Linked DNA regions of Tamandua tetradactyla. The protein of the gene in region 1 purifies or fractionates together with the protein of each later gene. This does not show direct contact. Links are inferred from orthologs where the notes say so. Each region holds a gene or a part of one and is shown in the gene's direction. Other genes may lie near its edges.

The links. The genes of interacting proteins can lie anywhere in the genome.
Region 2: the proteins of CAPZA2 (region 1) and SVIL purify together in Homo sapiens (affinity purification with mass spectrometry; 3 studies listed by BioGRID and IntAct, counting the BioPlex papers as one, with this or other methods). This does not show direct contact. The link is inferred for Tamandua tetradactyla from reciprocal best matches to the Homo sapiens genes CAPZA2 and SVIL.
Region 3: the proteins of CAPZA2 (region 1) and KIAA1671 purify together in Homo sapiens (affinity purification with mass spectrometry; 3 studies listed by BioGRID and IntAct, counting the BioPlex papers as one, with this or other methods). This does not show direct contact. The link is inferred for Tamandua tetradactyla from reciprocal best matches to the Homo sapiens genes CAPZA2 and KIAA1671.

What each region holds. Positions count from the first base shown.
Region 1 is NC_135327.1:156,403,331-156,410,559, forward strand, and holds the start of CAPZA2 (F-actin-capping protein subunit alpha-2), read left to right. Parts: upstream 1-4,221; 5' UTR 4,222-4,342; coding exon 4,343-4,381; intron 4,382-7,229. UniProt on the Homo sapiens protein: F-actin-capping proteins bind in a Ca(2+)-independent manner to the fast growing ends of actin filaments (barbed end) thereby blocking the exchange of subunits at these ends.
Region 2 is NC_135327.1:220,644,272-220,651,734, reverse strand, and holds the start of SVIL (supervillin), read left to right. Parts: upstream 1-4,441; 5' UTR 4,442-4,595; intron 4,596-4,713; 5' UTR 4,714-4,792; intron 4,793-5,171; 5' UTR 5,172-5,248; intron 5,249-5,401; 5' UTR 5,402-5,439; intron 5,440-5,619; exon of another isoform or gene 5,620-5,916; intron 5,917-6,659; exon of another isoform or gene 6,660-6,855; intron 6,856-7,463.
Region 3 is NC_135331.1:34,798,840-34,805,870, forward strand, and holds the start of KIAA1671 (uncharacterized protein KIAA1671 homolog), read left to right. Parts: upstream 1-4,009; 5' UTR 4,010-4,063; exon of another isoform or gene 4,064-4,067; intron 4,068-4,833; exon of another isoform or gene 4,834-6,689; intron 6,690-7,031.

The sequences.
Region 1 (7,229 bases):
GAAAGAAGCTATGGTCAAGATCAAGTCTCTATAAGAAAATGAGAATATAAGGCATTTTCTACTCCCACTTAGTTTCCATTTCCCCTTCTTTTAGCCACACACCCCAATTTTCCTTCCAAAAAGAGCCCTGAAAGAGGCATAAGAGAGAATCATGCATAAGTAGCTGTTCTAGTATACAAGCTGCCAGAATGTGATACACCAGAAAAAGAATGGCTTTTAAAAAGGGGAATACATTAAGTTGCAAGTTTACATTTCTAAGGCTGTGAAAATTCCAAATTAAAGCAAGTCTATAGAAATGTCCAATCCAAGGCATCCAGGGAAAGATACCATGGTTTAAGAGGGCTGATGATGTTTAGGGTTTCTCTCTCAACTGGAAAGGCATATGGCGAAAATGGCAACATCTTCTAACTTTCCCTCCAGGCTTCTTGTTTCATGAAGCTCGCCCAGGGGCATTTTCCTTCTCCCTCTCCAAAGGTCTCTGGCTGTTTGGACCCTCAAGCTTTTTCCAAAATGGTTCTCCCTTAAAGGGCTCCAGTAAGCAACCTCACCTTGAATGGGCGGAGACACATCTCCATGGAAACCATCTAATCAAAAGTTACCACCCACAATTGTGTGGGTCACATCTCCATGGATAATCAAAAAAGCTCCCACCCAGCAATACTGAATAAGGATCAAAAGGACATGGCTTTTTTGGGGTACACAACAGATTCAAACCAGCACAGTAGCTTTGTGTGTTCCACTGGCATGTGCATATGAGACAGTGGCCAAGGTTTGTTTTCAAGGTTGGTAGGAACAAACTATAAAGGAAATATATTCAGGTGAAGGAGATGCTTCAGTAATTCTTGGTAGCTCTAGAGTAATTCATGTCATAACTTCTCCAGGGGTGGCACTTAGCAGGGACCTTTTCAAAACTAACTGAGGAAATGGACAAAAGTAAGACACACTTACTCAAATATAAGGAACCAATAGTTCAAGCAATTATTTTATTTAGAAAGACAATTGTTTTTCAAATATGCATGATTTTTTCACACCTCTCCACTGCTATAAAAGACATTATTTGACATAATAATGTCATGTCAACGTGAGCATGATAGTAACAAACAACCAGATATCAGTTGTCTAACACCAGTAATTTTTTTCAGAAGTCAAAATTTTAAACTGAAGGTATTAGTTTTCCAGTGCAGATATTGAACTAAATAGTGTCTTACAGATGTTTGTATCTTGTGTAACCATTTAATGGTCAGTCAACATTACCTATTGGGTACCTATCATCTTATATATTACATTATTATTTGTATTACATGTTTCCATTATATGATGAAAAAGAAACATGAGTCTTACCGTCAGGACACTAGGGTTCAAAATAATATCCACTAGACGTGTGATTTTGGTCAAGATATTTAATTTATCTGAGGCTCAATTTGCTGGCCTAAAGATAAGAGGGTGGTACTAGATGAACCCAAAGAATGTGATTCTAGGAAATTAGGTAACCTCTGACCTTGGAGAGCTTTAAACCTACTTGAGGACATAGAGCACATCCATAGGAAAAGAGATCAAAACAGTTACAAGTAAGTTAAAAATAATCACTGCCAAAGGAAGAACTTAAAAAAAAAATCAGATTCTGGTGCTGTTAATTGGGAAGACTAAGATCACTTTGTTAATCAATAAAAGAAAGGTGAGTTTCGAAAATTAAATGAGAAAAAGGTAGGTAACGCTCACTCAGTATGTAAAATTGAGCATGGGAAGAATATTTGTTTCTTTTTTCATCACCAAAAAGTGCTAATTTTCAAAAATGCCAGTGCAATTTCTTTTCAAAGTCTTATAAAGGTCATTCTATATTTATGCCCACTAAATGTAACTGCCTGAAATCTTTCCAGGATTCCTGAGTTACTTGAATTCTATAATTCCTCTTGAACTCTATCAAGAGGGTGACATCGAGAGGTTACTGAAAAGATGATTAGAAATCATACATACTTGCTGGCTGTGTCACCATGGGGAACCATGTAAAGTATCACCAAGGTTACCACTATAAACATGACTCAAATTATTGAGAAACACTACCAGATTTGGGTGAGGTTTTTAAAGGAAGAGAATGGCCAATTAATGAAGCAACAATGTTTACTGAGTATACATTTGTACAGATTATTGATATAAGGGGTTGCTAAGTAAACAGAAAAAAACCTGAAATTAAAAAAAAAAACAAAAAAACCCAGAAGTACTGTTGAAGTAGAAGGTGGCAGATGAATAGAACTGATAATGTGATAGAATAATCTAATTGGGGAAGAGTGCCCAGATTTTAAAGAGGGAGAAAGAAAATTCTTGCAGTGGAAATAAAATGAAAGATAGAATAAGATGCCTGGATTCTATCCCAGTTCTGCCACTTGGAGCTGTGCAACCTTGGACAAATCGTCTAGCCTCAGTTTTCTGCAAAACGGGTATTAATGCTGAATAATCAATGAAAATAAAACACTTTTAATGCTGAATAATCAATGAAAACAATGCCTTGCAAACTGTAAAACAGTAAACGTCATTTATTTACATCCAGTGATGTCCCTGGCCAAACTGCATGGCTTATGCTCTTTCACTTCTCTCTACCTTTTAGCCTCAACAGGATGCCTGCTTTTTTTTCCTGCAGATGTCAGCATTTTTTCTTTTCCTGTTCTTTGCCCAGACTGTAAACCTCTCAATATTATGGCCCCTGTTTGCTTTGCATTTACAAGTAATATTCATACTATGAACACTCCGTAAATTACTTAATAGTAGCGTCTTGTATCTGTACAGTTATTTGAACTCTTTAACGTATTCTCATGCAGCTGTCAGATTCATCTTGCTAGGCTATTTCTGATCAAGTCATACCAGTTCACAAAAGTTACCAACAGCTTTTCATTTTCTACTGAATAAAGTTCTAACTTCCATCTAAATTCTAAGGCCTTGCTACTTAAGGTGTGGTCCATGGAGAAGCAACATTGACATCAGCTAGAAGCTTGTTAAAAATGCAAAATCTCGAGTTCAAACACAAAGAATCAGCAACTGCATTTCAAGATTCCCATTTGATTAAGAGGCACTGGAGATGGGCAAACAAGATCCTTAACCCTTTAGCAAGAGCCTCCTTTCCTGCCTTATTTGTTTCAACTTTGATTAAATATACTGAACTTTCAGTTACCTAGAGTTACTTACTAGCTCCCCTACATACTCTAGGATTCCCCTATTTCTTTGTCTTTGCTTATTGTCTCTTGTATTTTGAATCCCTTTTCCCTACAGCACAAGTCTTAATTTTCTCCAGCCTTTAAGGTATAGCTGTTAGCAAAATTATCGTGTCCATGATATAGTCCCTAATCTTGCCCTCTACCAGAAGTGATTTATTCTGAATCTTCCATAGAATTTTATTGGTAGCATTTTGTACTGCTATTATTTGAGTCCACCTTCACTCTCTTGCTAAACTTGAAGCCTCAGGAGCAGAGTTGCCAGATTAAGCCAATAAAATTAAGGATGCACAGTAAAAATTGAATTTCAGAAAAACAATAAATAACTTTTTAGTGTATGTCCCCAATGCTTCATGGGCTATACTTTAAAAATGTTGTTTATCTGAAATTCAAATTTATTGGGTGTCCTGTATTTAATTTGGCAGCCTATTCAGGAGTGTAGGACTCACCTCTAACATAATTTTGTATTCCCTGAGACTACAGTCAGTGCCTTCCCAAATGCTCAGTGTATGTTTGCTTAATGAATAGAAACATTGCAATTCCTTGAGAATAGGGCTTTCTATGGTTTTGTTTAACATTTTATATGCCTAGAGACCAACACAGTACCTGGCACACAATAAAGGAACAATAAATATTTGTTGAATGAATGAAAAAAATAAATGTATTATGAGCAACCTTCCAGTTATGGACCGGGTTGTGCCTATTATTAAAGCTAAATAATCATTAAAAAAAAATAATGCTTAAAAAGTTTCTTTCGTACGCTTTTTCACATTTTGGCTGGCAGAGTTCAGCACTTGAGGGGAACATAATCAAGGGCTCAGAATGTACTCGTTGCAGGATGGGCCCATATGGTCACTGGTGAGGAAAGAAGCCTGCACTCACGAGGCTGACAAGCTTGCAGCAGGCGGCGGTAGGCGTCTCCTTCCCCCTCCCTAGCCTACGAGGCGCCCGCGCATGCGCGACGCTGCGCTCCTTCCCCGCGGGCCGGGTTGAGGGAGGCTGGGCTCCGCGGCGCGTGCGCGGCGGCCTAGGCGCCGGGCTCCTCCCTAGGCGGGGGCGCGCGGCGCGGAGGACTGCACCGAAAGGGGGAAGTCAGGTGGCTGCTGCCGCCGCTACCGCGGTTTGTCGCCAGAAGGAAGATGGCGGATCTGGAGGAGCAGTTGTCTGATGAGGAGAAGGTAGGAGCCGCGGGGGCGACGGAAGCCATCCGTCCAGGAGCCAGCAGAGGCCGGGCCTGTCAGTCCGGAGTCTGGTGGCTGGGCAAGGGCATTGGCCATCGGTCTGTGCCCTCCGTGCCCTTCCTCTCCTCTTTCCTCCCTGCGCTCCTGTGCCTGCCCCTGTCAGTCACTGGAGGCCCCGCGCGGGAGACAGACCTTTGCCTGGCCTGATCGTTCCGCTCCTTCTAGGGTGTGCGCTCCGAAAATAGGAAGCAGGATCCGGGCGGTGGCGGCGGCGCTGGGAGCTGCGGGCGGGTGCGCGGGCGGAGGGCGGCGCCGCCGGGGCTGTGGACCCGGGTGGGAGTCGCGGGGCCCTGGCCTGTGTGGGGACTGCATAGGGGTCTGCGTTCAGACCCAGGAGCGGCCCAAGAGCAGTTCCCAGCCCTACAGCCGGGCCTTACAGAGTAGCGAGGGGTGAAGGCTAAATGGAAAAAAAGTCTCCTACGAAGCAAACCTCCTTTCTCCCTGCTGCCCAAAGCAAATGCTTCCTTTCTGGGCCCTCTGCTATTTTTTTTTTTTTTTTCCTTCCCATTCCCTGTGGAGGTTTATTGTTGGTGTTTTTGTTGTTGTTTGTCTTTTCTTTTCTCTCTCTCTTTTTTTCTTTTCTGCTTTAGCTGTAGCCTTTGCAGCTCCCGTGTTCCCTGGGAGGCAGCGGAGTTGCTCCTAAAAAGATTTCGACACCCCCACCCCCATAGTTGGTTCCTGGCCAGGTTGACGAGAGCCCTCCTAGGGACTGATCTGGTGGCACCCCGTCTTCCTGCTGGTACTTATTCCGAAAGGGAAAGATTCTACTGTGTATGAAATGTGTGACAAATGCAACCAGATGAGCGACTAAGTTCTCAGGCAGACATTTATAATAAGAAATCTGATCATTGAACTAGTTCTCTCATTCACTCTTTGCTTTGGCTACTGTGAGGCCCATTCTCCCAAGTGGGGATGGGGGTGGGAGGGGACTCTAAATTTTGAGTATTGAGAGAATCTTGACGTTTCTCATACCCAGTAGTAGCTGACATAACAGATCAATAAAGTAGTTAGAATTTTCGAAATGTCCGCTTTTATCAATGCTTCATTTTTAAGTTTCGAGGCAGTTAACAGCCATGCAGTTGCATTGTGGTATTTAAGAAATCCTAAAGTAGGGCTAAGGATATTTTCATTTGGAACTCTGCTCCATATGTTTTTATATCTTTGTATCCTTGTGTCGAAATGTAATGTTCTGTCTCCCTTCCGGTGTGAACATGCAGAAGTCTGCCTCATCTTCATTTTTGGAAATCTTTGTTTCTCTGTGCTCTGTGGTGGAAATGATGATCAAACCCAACAAAATGGAGAGACAACAATTCTCCATAATCCTTCATCACTTTGTAGGCAGATCTCTATCCACAGAAGTTGCTGTGCAGGATTCACATTTGTGTCATTGATAAATAGTCATAAGTTGGTAATTGAAAATACACTTATATGCATGTTTCAAGTCATGTAGTGCTAAAATGCTTTTTTTTTTTTTTAAAAGATTGTCACGTTTTTATTTTACTGTTCTTAAGTGGTGCTCAGTAGCTCAAGTGGCTAGAAATCTAGCTGAGGAGAAAGTACTTGGTGTGGGAGTTAATACAGAGCCATGTGTTGCATAGAACTAAACTGCTGAAGTTTTTTGAAAATGAAATGATGAGATTCTTTTATTATCTGACACTTTTAGGGCACTAAGCTCTGTAAAGAGTGGGGTCTTACTCTCTAATCTTACCTAGCACAATATTTTATGAGTAGATGTGTGAAAATTCCAATTTGAAGGAATTTTGTGTTTTTGTTTTTTGTTTTTGAGTTTTGGAAGAATGTTCTGTAGGTATTTCACATATGAATTTTATTATTTTATTTACTAACTTAAGAAAAACACTGTCCAAATTTTTGGGCTAAATTTAAGTAACTGATTGAATGAAAATTTCATTCTTGTTACTTTAAGTTACCTAAATGTCTTTTTATCGGGGAGGAGGTTATGGGTCATAAATGGAGAGGATTTAAAAGTAGTATTTTTGAACTAACCGTTAAATCATGTTACCCTTTCTGCCATCTTGTTTATAATTTTTCATAAATAAAATTTTAATACTTTCAAGCTTTTGGAATTCCCATTATCAATTGCATATATAAGGAAGGGAAGCTAAAATTTATGTAGTGCTGTACAGTAAGCCTGGTTCAGTTAGGCAATACATATATTACTTAATTTGTTGTAATTTTGAGGTAGGTATTATAACTGTTCCATAGATAAGTAAAGTGAAATTTCAAAAGCTTTAATTCTACCCAAAGACGCATAGATAGGAAGTGGCAGAAGTGATGTTTTTAAACCCAAATTTATCTGAGTACGAAGTTTGAGTTTAAGTACTCTCTCCTTAAATGGCATTATGCTGCCTCAAACAGTTGATTATAGGGCCTTCTTTTGGGTTTGTCTCTTGTTTTTAATTTGTTGGCAACATACTTCAAGAAAGGAAAAACAATGATTCTTTTTTGGTTTTAGTAAAAATTTTAAACACTAAAATTAAAGTGTTGCATTCTAAACTTAATTTGTGTTATTATCACTTTAGGGCAAAGTTTATTATTAGCGTATTTTAAAGTTTTATGCTATGTCTTATGGCAGAAAGCATTTTAGAAACTAATCTAGAATAATATCTTTACTTTTTTTCACTCATGCATGTTTGCTTTTCAGTTATACCACAGTGAAATGCAATGTAATCTTTTCATCTTTGATCACTGGATTAATAGGAAATAAGTCTGTGCTGAAGAAGCACAGAGAAGTTCTTTAACATTATTCATTCGCAGTAGCATGTCC
Region 2 (7,463 bases), about 64 Mb from region 1:
GGTAATTGACCCTGACTATCAGAAGGAAGTAGGACTGCAACTACATAATGGAGGTAAAGAAGAGTTTTCTTGGAATATAGGAGATCCCCTGGGGCGTCTATTAGTACTACCATGCCCTGTGATTAAAATCAATGGAAAACTGCAACAACACAATCCAGGCAGGACCACTAATGGCTCTGAGACTTCAGGAATGAAGGTTTGGGTCACCCCACCAGGCAAAGAACCACGGCCAGCTGAAGTGCTTGCTGAGGGGAAAGGGAACATGGAATGGGTAGTGGAAGAAGGTAGTGATAAATATGAACTTCGACCACGTGATCAGTTACAGAAACGAGGACTATAATGCTGTTTTGTTTGTGTTATACTATTTAAGTTGTAAGATATCAAGTTTAAGAATGAATGTTGCCCAAGGATTTGCACCCTATTCTGGAGAGATTTAATGTGTTTCCAGTTGTATGCAGGACAGTTGAGTATTGTCAGGTAAAAGAAAAAATGTGTGCTTATTTGTTTTCATTTGGAAATTAAGTATGGTCTAAGGTGATATATATATATAGGTGCCAAGTTGACAAGGGGTGGACTGTCATGGTTAGGGACAGGTGTCAACTTGGCCAAGTTATGGTACCTGTTCATCTGATTGGGCAAGCACTGGCCTGTCTGTTGCAATGAGGACATTTCATAGGATTAGGTCATGATCACATCAGCTACATCCACAGCTGATTCCATTTGTAATCAGCCAAAGGGGAGTGTCTTCTGCAATTAGTGATGCTAAATCCAATCATGGGAAGCCTTTTAAGGAGGACTCAGAGGAGACAGGTTGCCTTCCTGCTTTGGCTGGTGAGCCTCTCCTGTGGAGTTCATCCAGGCCATCCATTGGAGTCATCGGCTTCGCAGCCTGCCCTGTGGATTTTGGACTCTGCGTTTCTACGGTCACGTGAGACACTTTCATAAGTTTTATATTTGCAAGTGTTCCCTGTTGATTCTGTTTCTCTAGAGAATCCTAACTAATACAGTTTGCTACCAATTTTAATAGCCAAAAGAAAGTAGGTATTGCCAAAAGAGGCAGCAGCATAAAGAAAATATTGCCTGGCCCCCTGGAGCAGCTACTTTGAAAGGGGTATGCAACCTCTGCTAAGACAGTTCAGCCCACTTATATTTTCAATTCTTATTAAAACTTCCAGTTATTTATTTCCCTTGGCACCCAAACTACTGCTAATTTTTTTGAAATTAAAGAAGGATTTATTGATCATAAAATTAGAGAGGACAAGGAGTCCAGGGTGAACTATAACTGAAGAATGGTCTCTGTTTTAGAAAAAAGAAATCAACTGACACCCATCTAGTTTAGCTTAGATGGTTGAGACATAGCCAGAGTTATAAATAATAGCAAAGATTATTTCAGCCTCCAGGAATTTTTCAAAACCACATTTTTTTTTTGCCAACCCATCCCATTTTCTTTTTTCAAAAGCTGAAGAAGAAGGAGAATCTGGAACCCATTTTAAAGTTTTGTGAAAGCCTGTATTTGCCACAGTCTGATTTCTTTCAGATTTTGTCCATCCTTCACATCCAAAATATAATTCTATAGTAATATTCATGGCCAAGTGGATTTTTATGTCAAAGTAGGGGAATCTACAAGTTGCCTTTTAGAATTTCTTTTCTATTAGAACTTCAGCTGCCCTGGTCCACACTATTTGTCTTTCTTTTAAAAATCTCAACCATATTCACCAGAATAATTTAAGCAATGAAAAAAATTAATAGCAGTAACATATATTCTTTATTTACACAGCATTCTTCTCTCATAGATTCCAAATTTAAGATTAGGGAGTGAGAACATTGCCTTCTAAATACTTGTGGGTTGGATCTTGGATCTACTTTTCTTTGGTTGAAGGTATTTCACATGGGTGGAAATTCTTGGCTTCAGTATCAAGGTTATAATTTTATAAGAGTCTCTTGTTATCTTCCTTTGTTACATCATCTTATTTCATTTCCATCCTTCTCCCAGTAGACCCTCCAGACTAGTGGAAGTTTAGGGATTAAAAAACTCTGCCTTTCAACTGAACACATTGTTTCTTTTGCTGCCATCTCTCTGGACCTCTTCTATCTCCAACTCTAACAAAGAAAGCAGTTCTTTTATATCAGCAAAGGTTAATGTAGCAGATTGAATCAGCCCCACTTTCCCTCAAAGACATGTTCAAGTCCTAACCCCGGTCCTTGAGTTTGGACCCATTTGTAAACAGGAGCTTCCAAGATCATATTTGGATGAGGCCATGTTGAAACAGAATGGGGCTTAATCCTTATAAGGAGAGGAAATCTAGAAAGAAATGCAGGCAACTGGTCAGGGCCAGAAGCTAGAGAAGGAGAGAGAGAGAAAAAAAGTGTCATGTGATAGAGGCAGAGATACATCCAGAAGCCAAGGAACCCCGAGCATTACAGCAAGCCAGAACACTACCTACTCCAGGAGAAAGCATGGCCTGTGGATATCTTAATGTTGGACTTCTAGCTTCCAAAACCGAGGCAAAATATTCTTGTGGTTCAAGCCAACCCACCGTGTGGCATTTGTCATAGCCGGCAAACTAGGACTTAGTAACATACTTTTAATCTTGCAACATTTGTGGGGAATACTAAATTAGGAAATCCCACAAGTACCTATGGTTCATGTTTGGAAATCTCAAGGAACACAAGTTGTCTGGCTACACATCAAGCCTTCTTCGGCTTCTCCATATCACTGATCTCGTTTCTTCTCACTCCCCAATATATTCCAGCCAACAGCTCTCCCCACACTCATCTTGCAGGTTTTCACCCATGCTCCTGCATGCACACCAGATTGTAAAAGCATTTACAAGACACCTACTGTATGCAGAAGGAGTACTGTGTTTCATTCTCCATTCTGCCAATTCCTTGATTACAAGACTGGCTCAAAGTATATCATTCCAGAAAATGGTCTTTGCTTTAACTCCATCCCTCTCTGATGTCTCCTTACATATGTGTCCTCTGGTGAGTATAGTTCCAGGACTGCCTAATGCAGAGTCACTCCAATTTTTTTAACCATGATCCACAGGAAAGAATAAATTTAACAGAAACACTCTATACACACACACACACAGATATATAGTCTCACAAATATAGTTAACTGAAACAAAGTTTCATGTAAATAATACTTACTCTTAATATGGTACATGTTTAGTAATTTTAATTCTTTTTTATGTTTTTTAAAAATGCTGATCTTTAGCCACAAAATTGATTTCAAGATCAACAGTTTGAAAAACCCTGTCTAAGGAACTCTGGAGATTTAGGAGGCATGGAAACTAACTTGGGATTCTAATGGACAATAATTCAACCAGGAGGTGATTTAAGGGAGAATGTTTATAAAGTATTATCAGAAAAAGTGACAATTGCTATAAATAAGATATTTACGAACAAATGCTAAGTATGATCAAATCCTCTGATTTTCCTAAGAATTCAGTGATTTCTTAAGCAGACTTTTTTCTTTTTTACAAAATTCAATCTAGACATCAAATTTACAAAAAAATAGGAGGGGTGCTTTTCCCCCAGGAGCTCCCAGTTTAATGGAGGGTACAGGAAAGTGAATCAATTATTACAGTTCCACGCCCTGCGAGGAAGGAGGAGCACCTCAGTCAGAAAGGGGTGGCAGGTTTCCCAGAGCCCGTGACTCCCCAGAGGAGAGCGACACCTTCTCTCCAGACCAAGAAAGTCGGGAGTGCAGAAGTTCCAGGAGTCCAGAGTCCAGAAGGAGTGAAGGGCACAGATGGGGCAAAGGCCAGCGACCAGCAAGCAAAGGAGTTGAATTTTCTCCCAACACATAAAGGGAATCCACTGAGAGTTTCCAAGAAAGGCAGAGGGATAACCAGCTTTTCATTGTAGAAGGAAGCAGTGTGGATGGGGCTGGCTGGTTGACGAGCCGGGCTGGGGGCTGGGGGAGCTGGGCAGCTGGTTGGTGCCAAAATCTAGAGGAGAAAGAGTCAAAAGTCTGAACGGGGGCAGTGGTGTGGGAGCGGAGAGGACCGGATGCCTCGGCGGCATTAAGGATGTGGTAGCAAGTGGACTGGAGCTGATTACGTGGGTCAGGTCTTGGCTGACTCTCGGGTCTCTGGCAGGCCTGAGTTTGTGCCATCCACTCTGGTGGGGAAGGCAGCGGGAGGACCAAGTTCAGGAAAAGAGCTCGATTACGGATGTACTGAGTTTGGGATGCCTCTGTTGATCCAAGAGCTACTTGGATAGAAGGGGCTGGAGCTTGGGGAGAGGACTGGACTAGAGTTAGGTGAAGTCAAGAGTTGGATGAAGCCACAAAGGGAGGAACAGAAAATGGGACTAGCAAAGGACTAGGGTTGAAGCCTGGGGAAAGCTGCACTTTAAGGGAAATTACTGCTTAGTGGCTCAGATGTTTCTGGCTAGTGTTGGGTCAGCCCCTGCCCAGGCTTCCTTCCTGCCTTCCCGAGCTGCAAATACCTCCCCAGTTCTCCTGCACAGGAAGAGGAGGAAGAGTCATCAAGGCGGTTATTCAACAAAGATCCTCTTTTAGGAACCCACAGCCTTCTGGAGATGGCACAGGTACCCTGGAGAGGGCACGGCTCCAACAAAGGCAGGTAAGGGCAGCTGTGTGCCTTGTCAGGGACAAAGGGCAAGGGCTAGTTCTAAAACGGTTTCTGGGGCAGGGGTCCCAAATTCCTGCAGTGCTCCCAATCTTCTTTTCACACCTTTCAGGGCTGCCCTGTATGTCTTCCAAAGCCCCACGGGCTGAGTTGAGAACGCTGCTTCTTTGCAAGATCTCAAGTCCCACAAGGTACTTTGTGGGTGTGGTGACCCCAGCTCCGTCTCTAGTAGAGGGTGTGGGGTGGGCTATTAGGGATTAGGGAAGGCTGGAGCTGTGCTGGAAGCCTTGCTGTGCTCGAAGCCTTCGGGGCAGTGAAGCTCACCTTTCGCTTTTCTGATAAGGGCTGGTCTCTATCAGCTTGGCGCACACTCAGGAGTAAAAATAAAAAAAGTCTAGCACTCAGAGGAAAGAAGCCTGGGCTGGGGGGGAAGTTAAATGTCTACCAAAACACACACGTAACATTTGCAAATTTATCTGCAGCTTTGCAAGTTATCAAGTAGTCTCACAAATGCATCAGTATCACCAAGAAAACTTGTAAGAAATGCAAATTCTTCCGCTTTCCCCGTAGACCTACGGAATCACAGACTCCCGGGGTGGGGCGCAGCGCGCCGGCTCCGGGCTGGCTGAAGTTTGGGAAGCCTCGAGGTAGGATGTGGTCCCCCTCGCCGGACAGGCAAATCGGAGGGCGTAGCGACCATTTCACAGTTGCTAGGGGCCCGCCAGGACGGTCCCCCTGACAACTGGCCGCGAGCGCCGGGAGCGTTAACGTTCACCGACGTGGGTGTGTTTTATCTCCAGAACGCCTGGAAAGTCAGGGCCCGTGGGGTCGCGCCCAGGTAAGAGGCGCCCCTAGGACCTCGGGAAAGCCGCACGCGCGCCTGAGTCGGGTGGGAGCCCTGCGCTCCTGGCGCGTGCACGTGGGCGCGGCAGCGCGGGCGCGGGGCCGGGAGGGCGGGCGGGCGCGCGCCGAGGGGGTGGGTCCGGGCAGCCGGGCCGGCCTGGCACGCGCTCCGAGCCACTCAGCGCGCCCCGCGGCCTGCCCCGGGGGCCTATAATTAATCCACCGCGCTCGCCAGCCGCGCCGAGACGCCGGGGAAGGAGGCGCCGGGTCAGCCCTCACGGACCTCGCAACTTGTTCCGCTCAGCGAGTCCGGGCGGGCCGGACCCTCCCGGCGTCTTCCCCGACAGCGAGTGGCAGCAGGGAGCCCCGCCGCCACCGCCACCGCCGCCGCGGTCCCCTGCGAGTGTGCGCCCCTCGAGCTCCGGGGCCCGGGCAGGTGTGCGGGGCGCTGGTGCGGGAGCTGGCAGAGGAGGTGAGTGACGCCGGGCAGTCCGGGCGGGGGGGACGACGCGCTCCGGGGGGGCCGCGGGCCTGCGACCCTGTCCTCCCTCACTCGCCCCCCTCGGCCCCACTGGACTTCCCTCAGGGCCTGCGTGGGAAAGGCGACCCTGCTGGAGGTGTGTTTACTCAGGGGAAAGCGAGTCATTTGATTTCTGCCACTCCCCCGTCCCAGGCAGTGACACTCAGACCTTCAGCTCAGCTGGAGTCCGAAAGCCCTTAGCGCTGGGCCCGTGGCTGCCCTGGAGCTGGACCCCAAGACTTTCTCCAGCCCCAGGACCCAGGGGACGTGACACGCACCGCCCTCCTACTCTGTCCTTTTAAATTCCGAGGGTAGGAGAACGAGGAGGGCAGCTGCGGTACAGGACACAAAACTCCGTTTGCAAACACAGTAAAACCGGCCTTGCCAGTGTTTTAAAACAGGACGTGCACACGACTTGTGTGGTTTCCTCGAGACACCTGGCCCGCGACCGAGCGTCAGTGTCCCCTGGCGCCGGGATAGCTCGGGGCCCCTTCGCGCGGGGCACGGACTCCAGCCTCGGCAGGGCGGCCCCAGGATGGCCCCCGAACACTGGGGAGTGGGTGATCCGCGCTCGGCCCGGGGATCCCCGCGCCTGGCTCAGCTCCGTGTCCCCGAGCCGCGGTGCCCTTCTCCCTGTCCCCGGGTGCCGCCGCCCGGTGGCCCGGCAGAGGGCGCCGGCTCGCGGTCACTGTGCCGGGCGGCGAAGGGGAGGGGACTGGTGCGAGCCTCCAGGTAAGGAGCGAAATGAATCATCCCGAGAAGGGGGCACCCAGATCCTCGCTCTGCGGAAGGAAACGAGGAGTGGCCGCGGCGCTCTGGAGAAGTTGGGCTTCTCCCGTCCGGCGGAAAGCGGCGATTCAGAAACTGGAGGTGTGGGGAGCGCTCGGGAAGGTGAGGAGCGTCCCTCCCGCGCGGTGGCCCCGGGGGAGGGCAGCGGCCACCAGGGTAAGGCCGAGGACACTAGGGTTCGCCGTTGCGCACCCCGTCCGCCGCCTCGGGGACCGCAGGCAGGGTCCGCATCCGGATCCTGCGGGGGTGGTGGCGGCGGCGGCAACCCCGGAGCCCCCGGAAGGCGAGGAGGAGGGCCGATGCCTGGGCCCTGGCGGCTGGGTTCGGGTGTCCCCGGAGGCCCGCGGGGTCCAGCCGCAGTAACAAAGAGGCGGCGCAGCCCCTGTTCCCCCCACTTCCGTCCCCGCCGCGCCCGGGCGCGCGCCCTCGGGAGGTGCCTGCCGGGCGGCGGGTCAGGGTTTCCCTGCGCCGAGTTTCGGGAAGTTTTGCTGGCGGTCCGTTGGTGAGGAGGGGCTGGGTGCCCAGCTGCGACACTGCCAGCTTCCTCCCGGGACGCGCCCCGCGGGGGTGTGAGCTCCTGCGCCCGGGCTGCCCGCGCCCCGCCTCCCGGCCGAGCCCTGCGCTTCAAAAGCCCCGCGCCGCGCGCCCTTCCTGCGCGCTCCCGCACCCCAATCGGGCGTGGCGTGGGCGCGCGCGCTGCCCCGGGGGAG
Region 3 (7,031 bases), on another chromosome or scaffold:
TGAAACTACTTAGGCTAAGGGTGAGGGGTGAGGCATGTCCCGGAAGGAAACCTGAGGTGCCAATCAGGGGGTGGGGATGGGGATGAATGCTGGGCAGGGAGAAACAAGAAGTGTTATGAAACAAATAAGCACACACCAAGTTTTGCTGTTGGAAGCAGGAGGGTACAGTTGTGTCATGTTTATGATGTTTTTTTTTTCAGCCAGTGCAGAAAACCTATGGGTGAAGTTGGAATCCTGAGCCCTGAGACTTGAGTCCTACTCTGCCACCTATACTCAATGTAACTTCAGTTTTTGTGTCTCTGCCTCTCTGGCCTCAGTTTCTCCATCTGTAAAATGAGAGTCTGGAATTGAGGATTGACAGGGCTGGCCCCCACTTGCTCAGTCATTCAATTATACTCCTTTTTTTCTTTCAATGAATATTTGTCAAAGGTCTTTGGAGTTACTCTCACCTAGGTCTTAAATTCTGTTTTGATGTCTACTAGCTGTACTGAATTTGAATGCTGCCCCTTTTAGGTGCCTAACCCCCCTGCCCCTGAAGGTAGCATGGGTAAGTTGCTGCAGCCACTGGGGCAGCTCAGCTTGCAAGGACATGGCCTATGCTGTGGCCCGAGCTCCCAACATCTGCAGCTGTCACCCAAGCTGGCCTGACTGGACTCTTTGGGGGTTGTGGTGCCTCCATTTCCAGACTCAGGTGAAGCCCTGAGTAGGAAACTGACTCCCCTCCTAGCTGCCTGGAGAGGGAGGTAATACAGCCTAGAAGTGAGAAGCTGTTGTGTTGTGACTCATGGTGAACAGGACATGGGAGGTGCCAGCAGATGGAGTCCTAGCCCTTCCTCCCTACAATGGGCTGTTCCATGTAGCTTCTCCAGAGAAGCCCAGCATGGAGGAAATGCCAGCTGTGTTTTCTTGAGACGCTATAGCCAGCCCAGTGAGTCACATCTTGTATTTGCTCTCCCTCTTCCCCTGCATCGCAGTTCTTTTTCCTTCACTCTTGCTGCTTTGGAATTAAGGTCTGCTTCATATTCTGTTTTCTAAGCCTTAGATGCTAGCTGTATGACCTTGGACAATTTACTTAACCTCTCTGAGCTTTAGAGCCCTCATCTGTAAAATACAGCCTCTCCTGGAGAATTGCTATGTCCATTTAATGAGATGGCACAGGCAAAGCACTTAGTTCAATAAACCATCACTTTTGTTAATATCATTACTGTGAACCAGGCACTGGATCCTATCATGTGAATACATATCCTCAATATGAATTTCATGAATATTTATGGGATAACAGCTCTGTTTCAGGTACTGTGCTAGCTTCTGCCCTCAAGCAGCTCGTAATCTAGAAAGTGAGACAGAGAAGTAAATGAGCAATTATACTACAATGCTCTCAGTGGTTTGATATGGGGTAGGGCTATGGCATCTAACTCAGCCTTGGTAGTCAGGGATGGCTTCTGGGAGGAGTCGATGTTAAATTAAGCTAAGATCCGAAGACCAGGTTTATTTAACCAGGCAATGGGCAGGTAGAAATGTGCCAGGCAGAGCATAGCACGGACAAAGGCCCAGGGTCGAGGGAGAACATTTCAAAGAATACACCGGATCTCACCCTCAAGGGCAGGTAAATTATACGAGAAACAAAACACACAGCTATGCATCAATGGAAATGCGTGAATATGATCTTTGCCAGGGTGTGTGTGGGTTCTAGAGTTGTACTGTTCAAAACAGTAGCCATAGCTACATGTGACTATTTAAAATCTAAATTAAGTAAAATTTAAAATTCAGTTCCTGAGGCTCACTGGCCACATTTCAAATGCTCAATAGTCATCTTGGCTAATGTTAGACGGTGCAGATATAGAATTTCTTGATCACTGCAGAAAGTTCTATTGGATAGAGTTGCTAGAGCGTGAGAACAAGTAGCCCAATCAGGGCAGACTTCCTAGAGGTGGAGGCAGAAAGTGAACAGAGAAGGGGTTCTTGGGAAAATCCTTGGGTGGGTAATCTAAAGAGAGCTGGCATAGCCTCAGGAAAACCTAGGCTGGGGGAGGGGGTGGCTTTGGAAACAACATACAACCTGACACCACTTGTGGTTAGGGTATAATCTCAGGCTGTCTTGGCTGGCAGTCTCTCACCTGGGAGGGAAAATACAGGAATGCAGGAAGAACAGCTAAGTCAGGACTGAACCAGGAAGTCCTGCCCCTTCTGGGGCCAGGAGGAGTCTGGGAGTTGTGGTTTGGCATTTCTGGGATCCCCTCAAAGTTTGGACACTTCTTGGAGTGGAAAGTGGGGGCACGGTCAGACTGAGGACAGGTCTGGGTTTGGGGTCTCTGCAGAAGGTAGAGCAGTGGGCCCGTCTTCTCCTTCCAGTGCTGACATTCTGGGACAAGGAAGGGCTGTGGAGGTGGAGGGTTGAGTTGGCTGGGATCTCAGAAACACGGGACGTTCAGTTAAACAGAACCCTCAGCTCATATGTTCTGGTTCATGGAGATTTGCCAAGGAGAGGCAGGAAGTTCCTCTAAGGATAGGAAAGAGAGACGGCAGGTGGGACACTATCAGCTGCTCGTCATTCTCATACATTCAGCAAATATTTATGGAGCACCTACTATGTGCCAAGCCCTGCTCTAAGCACTGAGAATCAGGAGTGAACCCAACAGACAAAAGTCCCCATCCTCTAGCAACTGACACTGGAGAGGGAGGTAGACCATAAATAATAATTCCCTTTTGCTTATATAACACACACATATCATGTGAAAGCCATGCTAGAGGGGCAAGGTGGATTTTGAAAGTCACTAGGTTAGATCCAGTTATGATTGTGCTCAAGACATCTAGACAGTAGAGGTGATTATTCTAAGACATCAGATCTCAGGACTTCACAGCTCCATCACTGTGGGCTGGTCCTTTAAGGAGCCTCAGGCTGCGCCTAGGTAGAAAGGGGTGGGTGATCCCAGGTTTTAAAAAGTTGCTTTGCAAATGAAAAGGAACAATGGAAATAGTGGGTAACTCACTCTACAAGAGCTGCCCTTACTTCTTATTGCTGACCCCCCACCCCCACGTCCCAACAACCTAAAAGAAAGAGGAAGCAAATGAGCTCCTCTCCAATTCTCTTGCAGCCACATGATGCGTTCTTTTCTCTCTTCTGAACGCTTTCGTGTTCTGATGTACAATAAATGCACATAGGGTTTTAGGTCCTCGGGTATTCACGCTCTGTACTCATCCTCAGGGGCACCTATCAAGCGTCACAAATGCAATTCAATGGATGTTTTTCATTGTCAGCTCCTTCACCAATGTCAGCATACAGTTGGTATTAATAAAGGTCTGCTGAATGATATGAGGAAAGAAAAGTAAAATTAATAGGCATTTTCTCATGCAGGGGCCACTCCCTGTGATTCTTTGTCCAAAACGTCCCTCCCAACACGTACAGCAGCCGGCCTCGCACGCTGGAGGCACCTACAGGGGTGAACACCCCTTGCCCCGCCTGCGGGCCCTGCGCCTCCGGGGAGCTGTCAGTGCCCCCTGCGTGCCGCGCGGGGACGCCAGCACTTCGCTCAAGGGCCCGCTTGCTCCGGTGGCTGGCGGCCCCGACGCAGGCGATTCAATGGACTAGGGGTTCCCGAGTGCCTCCTAATGAGTGCCCCTGGGCTTCATTAGGCTCTCGGGGGTGCAGACCCCGCGGCCGGGTCGCTGCAGGCCCTGGGGCATCCGGGTCGGAACTCGGTGGTCGCCCCGGGGACGCGGGCGGGGACCGAGGAACTACGTTCCAAATCGGACGCGGCGGGGTCAGGCCTCGAGGCGGGCGGGGACGCTTCCGGAAGGGGGTCCCGGGTGAGCTGGCGACCTCCGACCCCGCGGCCCTGTCCCCAGGCTCAGGGGCCGCCTAGAGGGCAGGGGTCGCGCCGACAGCGCTCCGCCCAGGGGCCTTCCGCGCAGGCGCCGCTGGCCGCCATCCCCATGGCGACGGGGGCGCGTCCCCGCCCGAGGCCCCGCCCCCAGCAGGCTAGGCTGCGCGCGGCTGCGGGAGGCGCGGGCAGGTGTCGCGGGCTGCGGGCAGGTGGCGGCGCGGGCCGGCGGCGGCTCCAGGGTAGGTGAGCGGAGGCCGCGGGGGATGGGGGCCGTCCGTCAGCTCCCAGATCCCTGGCGGGCTGGGGGTCCGGGGAGGCGGTGGCGGACGATGGCTGCCAAGTTCCTGCCCGGCTGAGGCCCCGAGAGAAAAGTTGGCAAAGTTGGCTGGGAAGGGGGCGGGGGCGCCGGGATCCGGTGGATCTCCCCAGATCCTGGGTCTGCGGGGCTGGGCACCCCCGTTTGGGAGCCAGGGATCTCTCTCTCTCTCTCTCTCTCTAGGCTTAAGAGCCGATCCCTCGGGAAGATCCCGCACAGTGCAACCAATGGATCCCGCGCCGCCGGGTCAGAGACTTGGGAGTCGATCCCAGATGAGGCGGCCTCGGGATCCCACTAGATACCTGGCCTGGGGGTGGTGGTGCAGGAGGGTGATTCCGGACTGGCAGCGAGAGTACCCCACTTCTCTCACGCCGGCCCGAGAGGGAGTGGATTCGGAAAGATCTGGTAGCTAGGAGCTGGGGGATCGCCGGGGATCCCGGAGTACCCAGTCTGGAGCTGCTGGGTTCTGGACGCCGGTGGATTGGAGGCCCCAGAGGTGGACACTGGGAGTGAGGGCGCCGAGTGAGGCCGAGCCCAAGGCAAGAGGATCCTGGGGATAGCAGGGGCCTGAGGAGGGCAGCGCACCGCCCCCCACCTCCCCAGTGCCGGGGCTCCGGACGCGTCCTCCCCGCGGAGCCTGCGCCCCACTCCGCGCTCCTTCCAGGGCACAGGCTGCCTCGTGGGATTAAGACTGGGTCCGGCAGCTTGCAGGCAGGCCCGGATGCGGGGCCACGGGTGGGGCCTTCGGGAAGGGAAGCGGCCCACTGACCCCAACCGGAGCCTGACCTTTCCACACCCTCCCGGCTCACGCTGGCCTAGGAACCTGGGCACCGCGCCCTGAAACCCTGTTTTCGGTCCGAAGCGGGGCGGGTGAGCCCCGCGCGCCGCCTAGGTGGCCAGGGCTTCTTTATGGTTCGGACTGAACTTTCGCCTGGAGCAGCCGTCGCCTTTTGGAAAGGAAAGGGCTCTACCTGTTGCACAGAGAAAGAGCTTTTTCCGTGCAGCTTCTTTGTGACCCTGGGCAACCTCTCTGAGCCAGCCGGGGTTTTCTTTCCAGCAAATGGTGTGTGTTTGTGCTCAATCCCTCCGTTTTATGAGAGTATGTCAGGATTAATAAGGATGATGGGTATGAAGCAGGTGGGGGCTCTATAAATATTAGTGCTAGGGCCCCAGCTTTCCCATGTCTCATTTCCTGAAGCTTCCTCTGTGATGTCTAAGGGAAGGGTCCAAAAGTCTGACTTGCTGTCATTTTTAATCGCAGGATTAAAGAGATATTTAACTTGGCCTTTCTTCCTAAGGGGTTAATTGCTCCTCTGATTCCCCTTTGCAGAGAGAAGCTCTAAGGTTTGGCTAATGAGTAACCAGGGCATTTGGACAAGGCTCCTCCCTTGGCCCAGCTTTCCCTTTGCTAATCCATCCTCTTGCTAATCCACTGGGGCTCCTGGACAAACACGGACTCACCCCCAGACACTGGCGTCTCCTCCTTTCCTTTGTCGTCAGGGATGGTTCCCTAGGGAGTTGTGCAAACACGAACCCTGATCTTGATGGTTTGGGGGGGAATCCACTTTAAAGGATTTGTATGTCGACAAGGATGCAACTACCCATGAGAGCTGCCGTTTCAGTCCAGTGTCTTGACACGTTTCAGCGGGGCATGTGAGCCAGCTCATTCAGTCAACCTGTATTTATTGAGCACCTACTGTTTGCCAGGGACTTATCAGTATGGCGTGGCTCAGAGCAACCCAGGTCCTCCTGGAATTACATTGTTGTGTTCAGAGCAGTCAGCCTGCCCTCTGTTCCAGTGGGTCAGCTGTGCTGATTAGTGATTTAGGGGATTCAGCCTTCACCCCAGCTTCTAAGACTGGAGAGAGCCCTGCCCCCTATGGAGGTCCTGGGGGCTGGCATTTATTCAATGCTGAGGTTGGCAGGAGAATGAACAGCCAGCTATCTAGTCCTGAGCATTTCAGCAGCACCGAAATTTATCTCTGATCAACTCAGAAAAAGATCTCCAGAGGAAAATTTTACATGTGCATTCATTCATTCACTCTATTTCTTCAATTATCATTCTTCATACGACAAATATTTCAAGATACTATGCTAGGCACTGGGGCTTCAGAGATGAGGCTCCCAGGTGCATCCTTAAGTGGGGAATGCCTTTGAGAAAATAGGCAATTGTGTAAAAGGGGGAGGGGCTGATGCCTTCTAGCATGGGATGGGATGGGGCCCTTGGGGTTTCCGGGAGAGCCTGCTAGTGGGGAGAGGATGGTGTTCTGGGCTGGGAGATTGGGAGTGGATTGTGCTAAGGCCTGGGTGTGGGGAGGGAGTGCGAGGTATTGGCAGGAGCTGTTGGCCGGGGTCAGGTCAGCCATGCTCAGGGGTTTGGACTTTATTCCAGGGCAGCAGTGCGCGGTGAAAGGTTCTCTGCAGGAGAGTGATGGGATCAGATGTGTTTGGGGAAGCTTGCCCCAGCTGTTGTGGGAAGACTGGATGGGAAACGTCATGAAAAGAGGCCAGGATGGGAGGCCATTAAGGAAGCTGCCAGAAAAATCCAGGTGGGAGACCAGAGGGAAGTGGGATGCGGTTGGAGGGGGCTGATTGCCAGCTTGGATATTGATTATTGTTCTGTTTAGTGAGCCACTAAGTTCAAAGACTCGTTCCTCAAGACATGGCAGCCTATTTGGGGAAAGGAAAGCCCCCAGGAGTGGTGACGTGGAAGTATCAATGTTCAGGTCAGCAACCCTTCCTGAGCACCCACTGGGACAGTCATAAAATACCCCAGCTCCCAGGGACTTCTCACTTATAATCCTCATCAGCTTGCAGTATAAAGTGGGGGAGAAAGGCTCTTCGTCCCCATTTTATAGATACTGGGCTCAGAGGCCTCAAGATGTTTGCCA